3 linked regions of the Coturnix japonica genome follow. The protein of the gene in region 1 interacts with the protein of each later gene in a pairwise test. Links are inferred from orthologs where the notes say so. Each region holds a gene or a part of one and is shown in the gene's direction. Other genes may lie near its edges. The genes, in order: TRAF3IP1, PCNT and FGFR1OP2.

Evidence for each region.
Region 2: the proteins of TRAF3IP1 (region 1) and PCNT interact in a two-hybrid assay, tested with the Homo sapiens proteins (2 studies listed by BioGRID and IntAct). The link is inferred for Coturnix japonica from reciprocal best matches to the Homo sapiens genes TRAF3IP1 and PCNT.
Region 3: the proteins of TRAF3IP1 (region 1) and FGFR1OP2 interact in a two-hybrid assay, tested with the Homo sapiens proteins (2 studies listed by IntAct). The link is inferred for Coturnix japonica from reciprocal best matches to the Homo sapiens genes TRAF3IP1 and FGFR1OP2.

Annotation. Positions count from the first base shown.
Region 1 is NC_029522.1:3,289,311-3,292,961, reverse strand, and holds part of TRAF3IP1 (TRAF3-interacting protein 1), read left to right. Parts: coding exon 1-35; intron 36-178; coding exon 179-649; intron 650-3,651.
Region 2 is NC_029522.1:2,343,681-2,347,331, forward strand, and holds part of PCNT (pericentrin), read left to right. Parts: intron 1-964; coding exon 965-1,486; intron 1,487-2,243; coding exon 2,244-2,521; intron 2,522-3,248; coding exon 3,249-3,351; intron 3,352-3,651. UniProt on the Homo sapiens protein: Integral component of the filamentous matrix of the centrosome involved in the initial establishment of organized microtubule arrays in both mitosis and meiosis. Plays a role, together with DISC1, in the microtubule network formation.
Region 3 is NC_029516.1:62,494,043-62,497,693, forward strand, and holds part of FGFR1OP2 (FGFR1 oncogene partner 2), read left to right. Parts: intron 1-1,136; coding exon 1,137-1,250; intron 1,251-1,543; coding exon 1,544-1,657; intron 1,658-2,412; coding exon 2,413-2,550; 3' UTR 2,551-3,651. UniProt on the Homo sapiens protein: May be involved in wound healing pathway.

The DNA of each region.
Region 1 (3,651 bases):
CCAAAACAGACCAAAAAAACCATAGGGATAAAGAGGTAGGAAACTCCTGTTGGGTACACTGGCTACTCATTATTATTATATATTTTATTTCTATAGTGGGCATGTTGTATGTAGAAAGTAACTATGTGATAGAGTTGACATCTATTGAAATTGAATATTACTTTTTGATTTGTTTTAGGGAAGAGGAGAAACTGACATTAAAGACAGAAGTTCGAGCAGAGACAGAAAACCCAAAGGAGACGTCAAAGAAAACGAAGAAAGAGAAAAGGAAAGTGAAAAACAGAAGGATAATGAAGACAGGCACAAAGACTCTGAAAGGGACAACTCTAAGGAAGGAGGAAAACAAGAAAGGGAAAGAAACAAAAGCAGAACGACCAAACAAGGAAGAGAAACAGAAAAAAGCAAGGGAAAAAGAGACATAGAACGAGAAGATAATATTGGACGGGATAAAGCACAAGAAAAGGAGAAAAAAAATGAAGGAGGAAGAGAAACGGACAGACTGAAAGGAAGAGACAAAGATAAGGGTAGGGAGAGAGAACGAGAGAAAGACAGAGAAAAGGGAAAAGACCCTGAGAGGGACAAACAGAGAGACAGAGGGAAAGATGGGGAGCATGGACAAGAACACGGAAAGGATAAAGCAGAGAAAAAGGTAAGTGAGATCTTATCGCAGAGCAGTGTTCAACTATGAAGCGTTTTCTGTAACAGTGAATGTTTTTTTATTATGGATTTAATCTGTTAAGGATGTGGCCGAGGCTGTATGTGCACCTTCCTGTCTGCGAGCAGTCAGACTCATCTGCCCAGTGCTTCCTGAATGTCTGTTAAGCAGTTTATTTTCTGAACTGTGCTTGCTTGAATTCTCCTCATCACATTAGATTCAATCTGATAGAGTGGAGTGGCAGCTATTGTTGGAATTATTCGCTGTCATTGTCATGCATCTTTCTAGTAACGCATGCTGTTGCTTCAGCCAAAGCTAGCTTCTGGGGAAGGTGGGGGTTAAAGAGAGCTTTGTTGAGCCATAGCTGGTTGCTTGTCTCACTCTTGAGCTTACTTCTTCCATAGAGAGATCAGTTGAACAGTGAATCTTGCCCTGTTAGACTTCCAAGAGAGCCAAGCCAGTTGAGGAGAGCAGGTAGATGGCTAAGAATTCTGTTGTAATGCGCCCAGTTGCACTGTATGCTCATTTCCTATTCATATATTTCAGCTAACTAGGCTGTTACTCAGCACATGGAATCTAAAGCAAATATTTCATTTTAGTCTGCAGATTCTGAGGAATCCAAACTTAGAAAACTGCAGAAGCCAACTAAAGCCAGCAGGTGCCAGCCAGATGATGAGGTTAATGATATAGAAGATCGGGGAAGGCGAGCTTTGAAAGCGTTCCAGTTTAGAATGGTTTGGAAATCTGCATTAAGGAAATGAAGATTGAAAGTGAAGTAGATGCCAAGTTTTAGGGCTCTAAAATAGGTTGTCTGAGTATTTTTATTTAGTTGACTACTACAGGAAAATGTTTATTTGTTCAAAGGTTTCTCCTTTTTCCTCTTTCCTGGAATGCTGCTATATGTTTGTTTGATCAGGCAGCTCAGTGTGATGCAGCTGCTCACTCGCACCCCCAGCTTTGGGCTGGAGGAGAGAACTGAAAAGTTCAAAGTGCAAAAATGGGTGGGGGGGTGGTTGAGATAAAGGGAGTTTAATAAGACAAAAAAAAGGAAAAGCAACTAAACAAGCAGTGTAAAAATCATTTGTTCACCACCAGCTGACTGATGCCCAGCAGTGGAATCCTGGCTATCTCAGGGTGATGCCGTATGTATGGGATATCCCTTTGGCAAGCTTAGGTGAGCTGTCCTGGTTTTGTCCCCTCCCATATCTTTGTGCACCCCAGTGCCTTGTTGGCAGCCAGCACAAGAAGCTGCAGAGTTCTTCCTGGCTGAGTGTAAGCACTCCTTAGCAACAGCTATACCGTTGTTGTGCTATCAACATTGTTCTTACCCTCAATCCAAACCGTGCCAGCTGCTAGGATTTAGGACAGGTGTTTTAATAGCGGTTGCTGGGTTGAATGGAAAATAAATCCAGTTTTGCATTGTGTTTTGCAGCTGGATGATGGTAGGGTGGAACAGGAACTTGCTGACTGCCTCTGAACAGTAGCTGTTGTTTGTGATACCATTGTGTCTGCATCTGCTGCTTCTTGATGACCTGAGGCAATATGGGGAATTAAGGAACCGTATGGCTAAATGTTTAAGAGTGAGCCTTCAATAAATTAGCCTGAAGGTAGTTCATGCTAGGAAGAAATAGGCAGCATCCCAAGTCCAGCAGGCGTCTCTGTTGGAATTCTGTGGGCCGCTGACATCATTGTGTCTTCTACATGAGATGACAAATTTATAGCTGTTTTTTGACTGAAATCCAACCAAAGTTTTTGAATTATTGGCACTTGGAGGGAGAGCTTATAAAATAGTTTTCAGCCTGAAGCGAACGTTCATGGCCAAGTTAAACTTCCTGCAAATTGGGTCTCTAATGGAAATTCTGAGCCTCGTCCCAAGCTGTCGTAGTGCTCTTGGGCACCACTGGAATATGCTGGGGCAGTAAAGTTTCATTTCCCGTCTTAAGTGCTTTTGGGAGTGATTCCAAGGCATGTTGCTTTACTACCTTAAATCTAGATAACATGCTGTTCCTTTACTTGCTTGCGTAACGGTAGACGCTGCTTTGCTTTTAGGTGTTGAAAACATACTCTTTAGACGAGTGCATGACAAATGGTCACCTTACTAAGGCTCTGCAAGAGAGGAATGAAATGAAAACGCTCCCAATGAATCTCGTAAAGCTGGAGAGCTTGGATAGCTGTGTAAAGTGATTTAGAGAACATTCCATCATGAGATAGTCGAGAGGTGCACCTTAGTGCACTGAGGTTGATCTTACTTTCCTCCCAGTAGTTTCACAGCAGGATAATGCCTTTATTCCCAGGGATTTACCCTGACTTAAATTGCTGTAATACCATTTATGTCATGTGAAACAAATGTATTAAAAGCAAAGGAAACAACTTTTGTATTAATGCCTACAAAGAGTATTTGATTGCATTATTTGGTAGTGTGTGCTGCATTGATATATCTTAAGCATCCATTTTTTCAGCTTTCTAAAAATACACTGCACTTGAAACAAGTTAAAACAACCCCCTTTCAAGCTGTCTGATATGCCATTGCCTAATGTGTTGCCTGCTTTCTTCTGCCCTGAGGACTGAACTCTTCTTCTTTCCTGTTTTGTTCCTCTTAGGTTCATTTACACAGCAGTGGCTTATGGTAGAGTCATAGAATGACTTAGGTTGGAAGGGACCTTAAAGACCATCCAGTTTCAAGCCCGTTGTCATGGGCAGTGTTGTCACCCACCAGCTCAGGCTGCCTAGGGCCCCATCCAAACTGGTCTTGAATGCCTTCAGGAATGGGACACGTGCAGCTCTTTGGACAACCTGCAGGAGTGCCACATCACCTCCTGAGTGAAAATTATCTTCCTTATATTTAACCTAAATTTCCCCTCTTTTAGTTTATAACCATCCCTCCTTGTCTTATCCTGATTAGACCATGTCAAAAGTTGGTCCCCCTCCTGTTTATAAGCTCCCTTTAAGTACTGGAAGGCTGCAGTGAGGTCTCCATATAAAGTTTAGTCATTAGT
Region 2 (3,651 bases), about 950 kb from region 1:
CCTGTCTTTTTAACATATGTCTTTTGTAGAATTACAAACCAAAGCCAAACTCCTCTGACAATTTCCTTATGGTTTGCCCTCTGATTTTTGTTCTCCTTCTGGTAATTATTTAAGTGTGTAGGTGTTTTCTCTTTGTTGGTTTGGCTTTTTTTCTGCTTTTATGGTGGAGCACGTTAGCACTGTGTGTATCTTGTACAAGGGCTGTTCATGCAGAGAACACGGGGACCATATTGGTCAAAAGCAAAGTGAAAGTGCACTGCCCCAGGTAAAGCTGTGCAAGAGGTGTAACCATTCTCAGGTGACTGCAGTCCTGCATTCCCAGTACTACAGAAAACTGATGGTACCAGGTTTGTGCCGCTTAGTGGTCAGAGATCTGGTGCTGCCTGGGGAGAGAGGGCAGAAAACCCTGCCATGTTTGTTCTGGCTTCCTGAGGCTGCCCCTTCATTTACTTGCTTCCTTTATGAAATCAGACTAATGAAAATGGGTTATTGTCATCAGTCTGTTCTGCATTTTTTAAATAGGTGGGCTGTAAAACCAAAAGGTTTTATAGATAGTCTTACTGCTTAGATGACTGTTTATTAGTGTTTTTTAATCAAAATTCAGGTTATTTCTGCTTCAGATATCATTTAAGATGATTGGGTAATGTTAAAAAAAAAAAAGATAAATTGATTTCTCAGTGAGGTTATTAATGATTGAAGGAAAAATAATGTACCACAAGGTATATTCATATTAAGATCCTTGGTTGTATTAATTGGTATCGTGACTGTAAAGAGCATGTTTCTGGCACTCAGAAAATTGAACTTGTGTTTATAAATTAATTTTTTAAATACCTGAACTAGTCTGGCTCAATCTTGATTTCTTTTCTCCTTGAATAAAATATAATTTTGAAAATTACTGAATGCCAGAGCACCCCACAAATGAGTGCTTATGTTAAAATATCACTGTGTTTCTCTCATTGTGCAGGATTTACAGGCTGCCTTGGATTTGCAGATGGTGCAAAATAACAAGCTGTCTGTATCCTTAGAGCATGAACAAATAATAAATGATAATCTCCGCAAGGAACTTCGGATAGAATATTCCCGCTGTGAAGCGTTATTGTCTCAAGAACATGACAAAGTGTTGGAGCTACAGAAGAACTTGGATGCTGAGAGAAATCATTCTATGGAGCTCTTGAATTCCTTGAATCACGAGCGTGTTTTGACAGAACAGTTGAGCATGCAAGCTAAGGAGGAGGCTTCCTGTCAGCGCAGGGAGTTATTGCTAGAACAGGCCCTTATCCGAGAGCTCCAAGCCCAGCTGGAGGAAGAGAGATCCCGCAAGGCAGAGCTAGCTGCTATCATTGAGAAAACACACCAGAAAGCCATTCGTTCCAAAAGGCAACTAGAGGCTGAAGTACAGATGTGTTGTGAAGAAACACAAATGGAGAATGAGACCACTAACAAACTCCGAGCAACACTGGAATCTCTTAGGAGTCAAAAGCAAGAGGTAATCCATTCCCTGGAGGCCCAGAAGGAGAGAGAGGCAAAGTTGAAAGCTAACTGGGAAGAATTGCAGTTACTCTTCAAAACAGTGCAAGATAAAAATAAGAAAGAGTAGAGAGAGCAAAGGCAGCAGCAACAAACAGAAACAAAGAGGAGGGCTGACAGAAGGATCAGGAGAGACTTGTAAGAATGTCTGAGTCTTCCCTTAGATTGAATTAACCATGAATTGGTAATTAACACAGTGCATAATGTCCTCTAATTAAAATGTTTCCTTCCCTGTAACAGAGTGTTATGAAAAATGCTTTAAACCAGCTGCCTGCATTTTTCAAATGTAGCTGTTTTCTGGGTTTAGTTTAGGTCTATGTTGGGGATTGCCTCTTGTTAGCAAATGGAGGAGACATTAAGTGTGGTTTAAACATAGTAGGTAACCAAACTAGGTTTCACCCTTGTTTCTCAGCTCCTTCACTTTCATTAGAGGAACAAGGGGGCTTTGTAGACTTTCTGAAGACTTGCAAGTTGCAAAGTCAGGAAATGGATGGAGATGATGCTCACTCTGTAGTTAAATGGCTTCCTGGTAGCCCTGGAGTGCAGTAGTATAAGTTTCCCCCTGTAAAGTGGTACATGGCTTAAGAAACACTGAGATGTGGATATGTTAGTTGGGTGTGGTGCTTTCATATGTGGTCTGCATATCTAAATCCATATGTACTGGGGTGTGTGTATGTACAAGTGGCAATTTATTACTACTTATTCTGTTAAAATAGCAAAACTTGGAACTGCAACACCAAAGGGATGAACAAAGAATTAAAGAGATGCAGGAAATCATGGCGATCTTAGAGGAAACAGAAAGAAGTCCTCCATCTCCCAGCAGTCAACGAGGACCGTTGTGTACTTCAGACAAAGATCAAAATGCCAAAGAGCCCATGACAAAAGAAACTGAAAAATTCAACTTGCAGCAGCAGCAACAGCTGGAGAAGATAAGACAACAGTTGCTTTTTGTAGCTGCACGTCTCGTTGAGTTAATGTGTAAAACTGTAGATAAGTGAGTAGCTTAAATGCTGTTCATAAAACAGTAGTTTTCTCTCCATACAGCTTCTGAACTCGCACAGATCATGGCTGAGAGCCATCAGCTAAAGGAAATGGATTGCGTATCATTTCCTCTGCTTACAAGATTGCGATGTGAAACCATGATTACGTGGTGCTTAGCAGACTGTGTTTAGAAGGTTGTCATCCCCATTCCTGTAAAAATCATTTATGCCTGCCTGCAAACCAGATCTGTGAAGTAACCTTTCATAAAAAGAGCAACTCCAAAAAGAGAAAACAGGAGTTTGAAGGAGTTTTTTTTTTAGTTTGCAGTGAGCAAATAAATCCGGATTGGAGAGCAATCAGAAAAACAGCTTAATCAAGGCAGCTGCAGGTTTGGAATGGTGGGCTGTATTGAGGAAGGGAAAAGTTGGCCAAGCTCAGTAATTTTTAGTTTCTATGGCAGCAAAGTAAAATACCAATAAAATTTTGCTGCAGCCTGAATTTGCATGGTTGAATTTCACACTGGTAGAGAATACGGATTTCTGAATAAGTTTTTGTTCAGCACTATTTAGAAATTCCACTATTTAATAAAAATTTCTGATTCATTGTGTTGTGTTTGATAGGTAGTAAATGAGGACAGCATCAAAACTTAAGATATTTCAATGGGGAGGAAGAATGTGTGCTAACTATAATATAAGATCACTAAAAATCAACCATACTGACAAAGTGTTTCTTTTTAACAGAACGGTTAGTGACTGGTATGTATCAAATGATGAAGCTGTAGCATCTTTACTGCAGACATTAAAGGAACTAAAATCAGATTTATTGACTCCTCCTGCATCTCAGGTGAGGAAAATGGCATATATTTGTTCATTATCAGGAGGTTGTTCTGTGTTCTTTGGGTTCTGGTACACATCTAAGTTGTGGCAGTGTTGGTGGTGTTTGTGTTGTAGGGGTTTGTTTTAGTGTTCTGAGGAAATCTGTTTTTTTCAGCTTGATGGTAGAAAAAAGACAGGAACTCCTATACTCACACCATCTTTATGCCAACATATTTAGTATGCGTTTTTCTATGTATGTCTCTTTCTCTGTTGCATTGCTGAGTCTACTACCAAAGGAATTCTTTTCCTAGTTATGTAATAAGTATAT
Region 3 (3,651 bases), on another chromosome or scaffold:
ATAAATGTTGTGAATTTTGCCCAAAGGTCAGGCCAGGCATGGAGAGGCAGGTCTGTTAGTGGATTTGGAATAAGAAACAGGTTGAAAGACTGGACAAATTAAAAGCGTCTGTAAATACATTAAAGTATTTGGCTTAACTCTACAGCAGTGAATGCCAAATCACTTAGGCTCTTCATCTACATTTTTCAAGAGAAATAAGCAGAGGCTCTATAAGTGCTTCTTGCTGATATGCTGGCCAGTGAGAAAGTAAAACATCACCCAAGCCAACAAGGGCCAAGTAAGATATCACTTATTTGCAAACAGGGGAGATTATTCAAAATCTAACTTCCCTGCAAAGGCTGTTAGGCCTGTGTTAATGTCTCCTATCATCACTTTCCTGGCAGTGGAACAAGATGAGCAAAGACAACTACTGCACTTGTTGTTTTTTTCTCCTCCATGAATATTTCAGTGAGATGCAGTAATTATTTATAATAGGGAAGTACCCTATTGGTATTAATTAGTGGAGGTCAGGCAGGACACGAGGGTGTTTCTAGAGTTCAACAAGGACAAGGACCTCTAGAGACCAGATCCCAGATAAGCTGAAATGGGAAGTGGATTTGAGCAGCGGTACCGCAAAAAGGACTCAGAGTTTTCCAACTTATGTCATAGTCAGGATGACAGCTTTGCCTGCTCTTTCTAACAGAGAAATGCCCACTCACGGGCGAGTACTGTCTGTACCAGACTTGCGACCAGCTTTCAAACAGGTCCAATATGCTGCTGTGCTCAGATGAAGTTGGCCTTTCTGCACATCCAGAAGGACGCATACATCAGCTCCTGCAGTACAGGAAGTTCTTGCCAGAGCAAACACGTGGCTGTCTAACAGCCATCTGGGAGACATGGAAGCTGTCAAAGGCACAGTCATTTGGGCATGTTTTCTTCTGTAAAACTCCTAAAAGTGAACCGTGTGGCAAACCAGATTGATTTAAATGAACAGAACTGCAGTGGCTGCTCATGCTGTAGAGTTAGCGCTTCTTTGTTTAGGTCTGTGTTTGCATTTTTATTGCATGACACGGCAGTTTAAATGCACATGTAATACTTTATTTTTAGTAATGAAGAAAGCTTATTACTAAAAGTACTGTTTTATCTATATGGTGTAGGAACTACAAGTGCACGTGGACCAAATTACAGAAATGGCAGCGGTAATGAGGAAAGCCATTGAAATTGATGACAAGCATGGCTGTAAAGAGCAGGAACGTATCATTCAGCTTGAAGTAAGTATGAGATCTTTTTTTGAGATTTGTGCCAGTGATGGCACAAATAGGGATCTGTCTTCCTCTACCCTCCCAGTGAGAAATGCTCAGAACTGACTGTGAGACAAGAAGTTGCGATTACACACAGATCAGAGTCTGGCTGTCAGAACAGGGAAACTCTCTGCCACTTATTTGGGGAGTTGGGGGAGCAGGTTACCGCTACCCAAATACGTTCACACAAGCTTTAAATTGTGCTCCACGTCTCTAAACAAAATATCTTGTTCTGACCCTACAGTTCTACCTTTCTTTTACAGTCTTTCAGTACTTTAGGGTTTAGGAATAGCCAGCTTCCCGTGCATCTGCTGCCAGTACTCAAAGCCAGCATTAAGATAGCTGCGTGCTATCTTCATGGAGCTGGACTGTTTCAGGTAATTAGTTTACTTAGGAGAATTAGTTTGATGTTGTATCAAGGAGCTGAGGGGGCTGTAGCTGACATGAGATTGGTCTCTGCTGCGGTGCCATCTTTCCAGAACTCGGGAGCAAATCATGTTCTGTATTCTTGCAGTAGATTTGCTGAAATTGCCACAAATCCTGAGATGCTGATTTAGACTTTTGCTTTAGTCACCTGCTTGGTTTTCCAGTCTCCCTCGGTATTAAATCATTTCCTTTGACAAAGGTTTTCCCAGTGCGCTACCAATTTGGCTGCTTTTTTATAAGACGTTGTGGAACCAAGTCACACGTTATTATCGAGTGAGGAACTGGGTGCAATGTTTAATTATTTCCAATGCTGCTACCAACCCTAACAACAGTTTTTAAAGTCAGTAAACTCTTCAGTAAAGGGATCCTTTCTGTTTGTAACTCTGTGGTAATCCGGCACGTAAAACAAAAGCCGCTTTGTGCACTTACCTTCTGGTACAGTTCGTTGTGTGTAAAATGCCTTTGGTTCTGTTGTTCCCAGTGCTTCAGTTATTTCTAGAACTCAGCCCTTAGCAAGGGTGTTAACCTTATCACAGTTACTGAGTTACTGTCTCTTTCTTGAGTTACTGGATCATTCACTGGTACTGCTAGTTTGTTGCATGTCTTTTGTAAGTGTGTTTGTAGTAAAGGGAAGGAGAGATCCTTCATGTAGTTATCTGACTTTCTGGAGTTCTATTAAATGCCTTTTTTTATCCCTCGGTTATAGCAAGAAAACAAAGGCTTGAGAGAAATTCTTCAGATAACCAGAGAATCATTCCTGAACCTTAAGAAAGAAGATGCATCAGAGAGTACATCCCTTTCAGGGTTAGTAACAAGCAGTGATTTGAGCCTGAGGAAGAGCTGAAGACTGTGGAAGCCAACCAGCTTTAATTGCACACTTTACAAACGGAATATCAGGGGTCACTTGTCAAGCACTTGTTACTGAATAGGGCACCAGCAGGCTTATGCATCTTGAACTTTGGTTTAGTGGCTTTTATACCGTGTAAAATAAACTCCAGTCGGTACTCTCTGAATACCGTAGTGACAGATTAATTGCCATAGGTCTAACTTCAGTAGGAAATGGGTTAGTGCACTTATGGAATTGGGAATTATTTTTATATGAAGTCATTTTACAAATAAAATACATAATTTCACTTAATTTATATAATTTATTGCTCGGACAAAACTTCAGTGCACCTATTATACAATAAATGCAAGATTTAAAGTAGTCTGATATCTGGCTAAAAGATAGCGACTGACTACGCTTTGTGCATGCTCCATAGTTCATTTGTCCTTTTAGTTACTAAGGTTTGTGAAATTCAGCATTTAGCAACGAGCCTCTTTAATGGAAAGAGCCAGCAGAAAGCCGACGGGCTCCTGTTAGCCGCAGGCTGCCCTGTTGCAATGTAAGGCCAGTTGCTCAAACATAAGCAATACTTTTGCAGTTGTTTTTACCTTATGAGAGAAAATGAAGCTCAGTTCTCTGTGGGTGGCAGGCTGCCGTAGTCTCATCTGTTTCTTTGGGGATTGGCTGCCCAAAGCTAGAAACAGCAATTTGAAAGCACTCAGACCGTACTGAGGGAAAGATAATTGGGAGAAAGAGGTGAGAAATTCTATGGCAAAGTTAGCAGACTGTGCACCTGGAACTATTATTTTCTTTCTTTAAGTACTATTTAGTCAAGGAGTTTTGTGTATTTTCACTGGGAGCTCTCAATACATCACACTGACAAGACTGCTCACTTTTATTAGTGAAAAAGCTGCAGAGGTGAAAATGAATTAGCGCTTCTAGAACAAGAAGTAGCTTGCACGGTTTGCCTGTACACCAGAAGTGCTTCGTAAGATGTGTTTGCCATGAAAGAGGCGCCGCAATGATTGACAGCTGGCTTTTGTCAGACCGCTTCTGCTCATTGTTCAGAGCGCTAAGGCTGCTGCTAAGCGAGTTACCACATTTTGTTCAGCGTGTTAC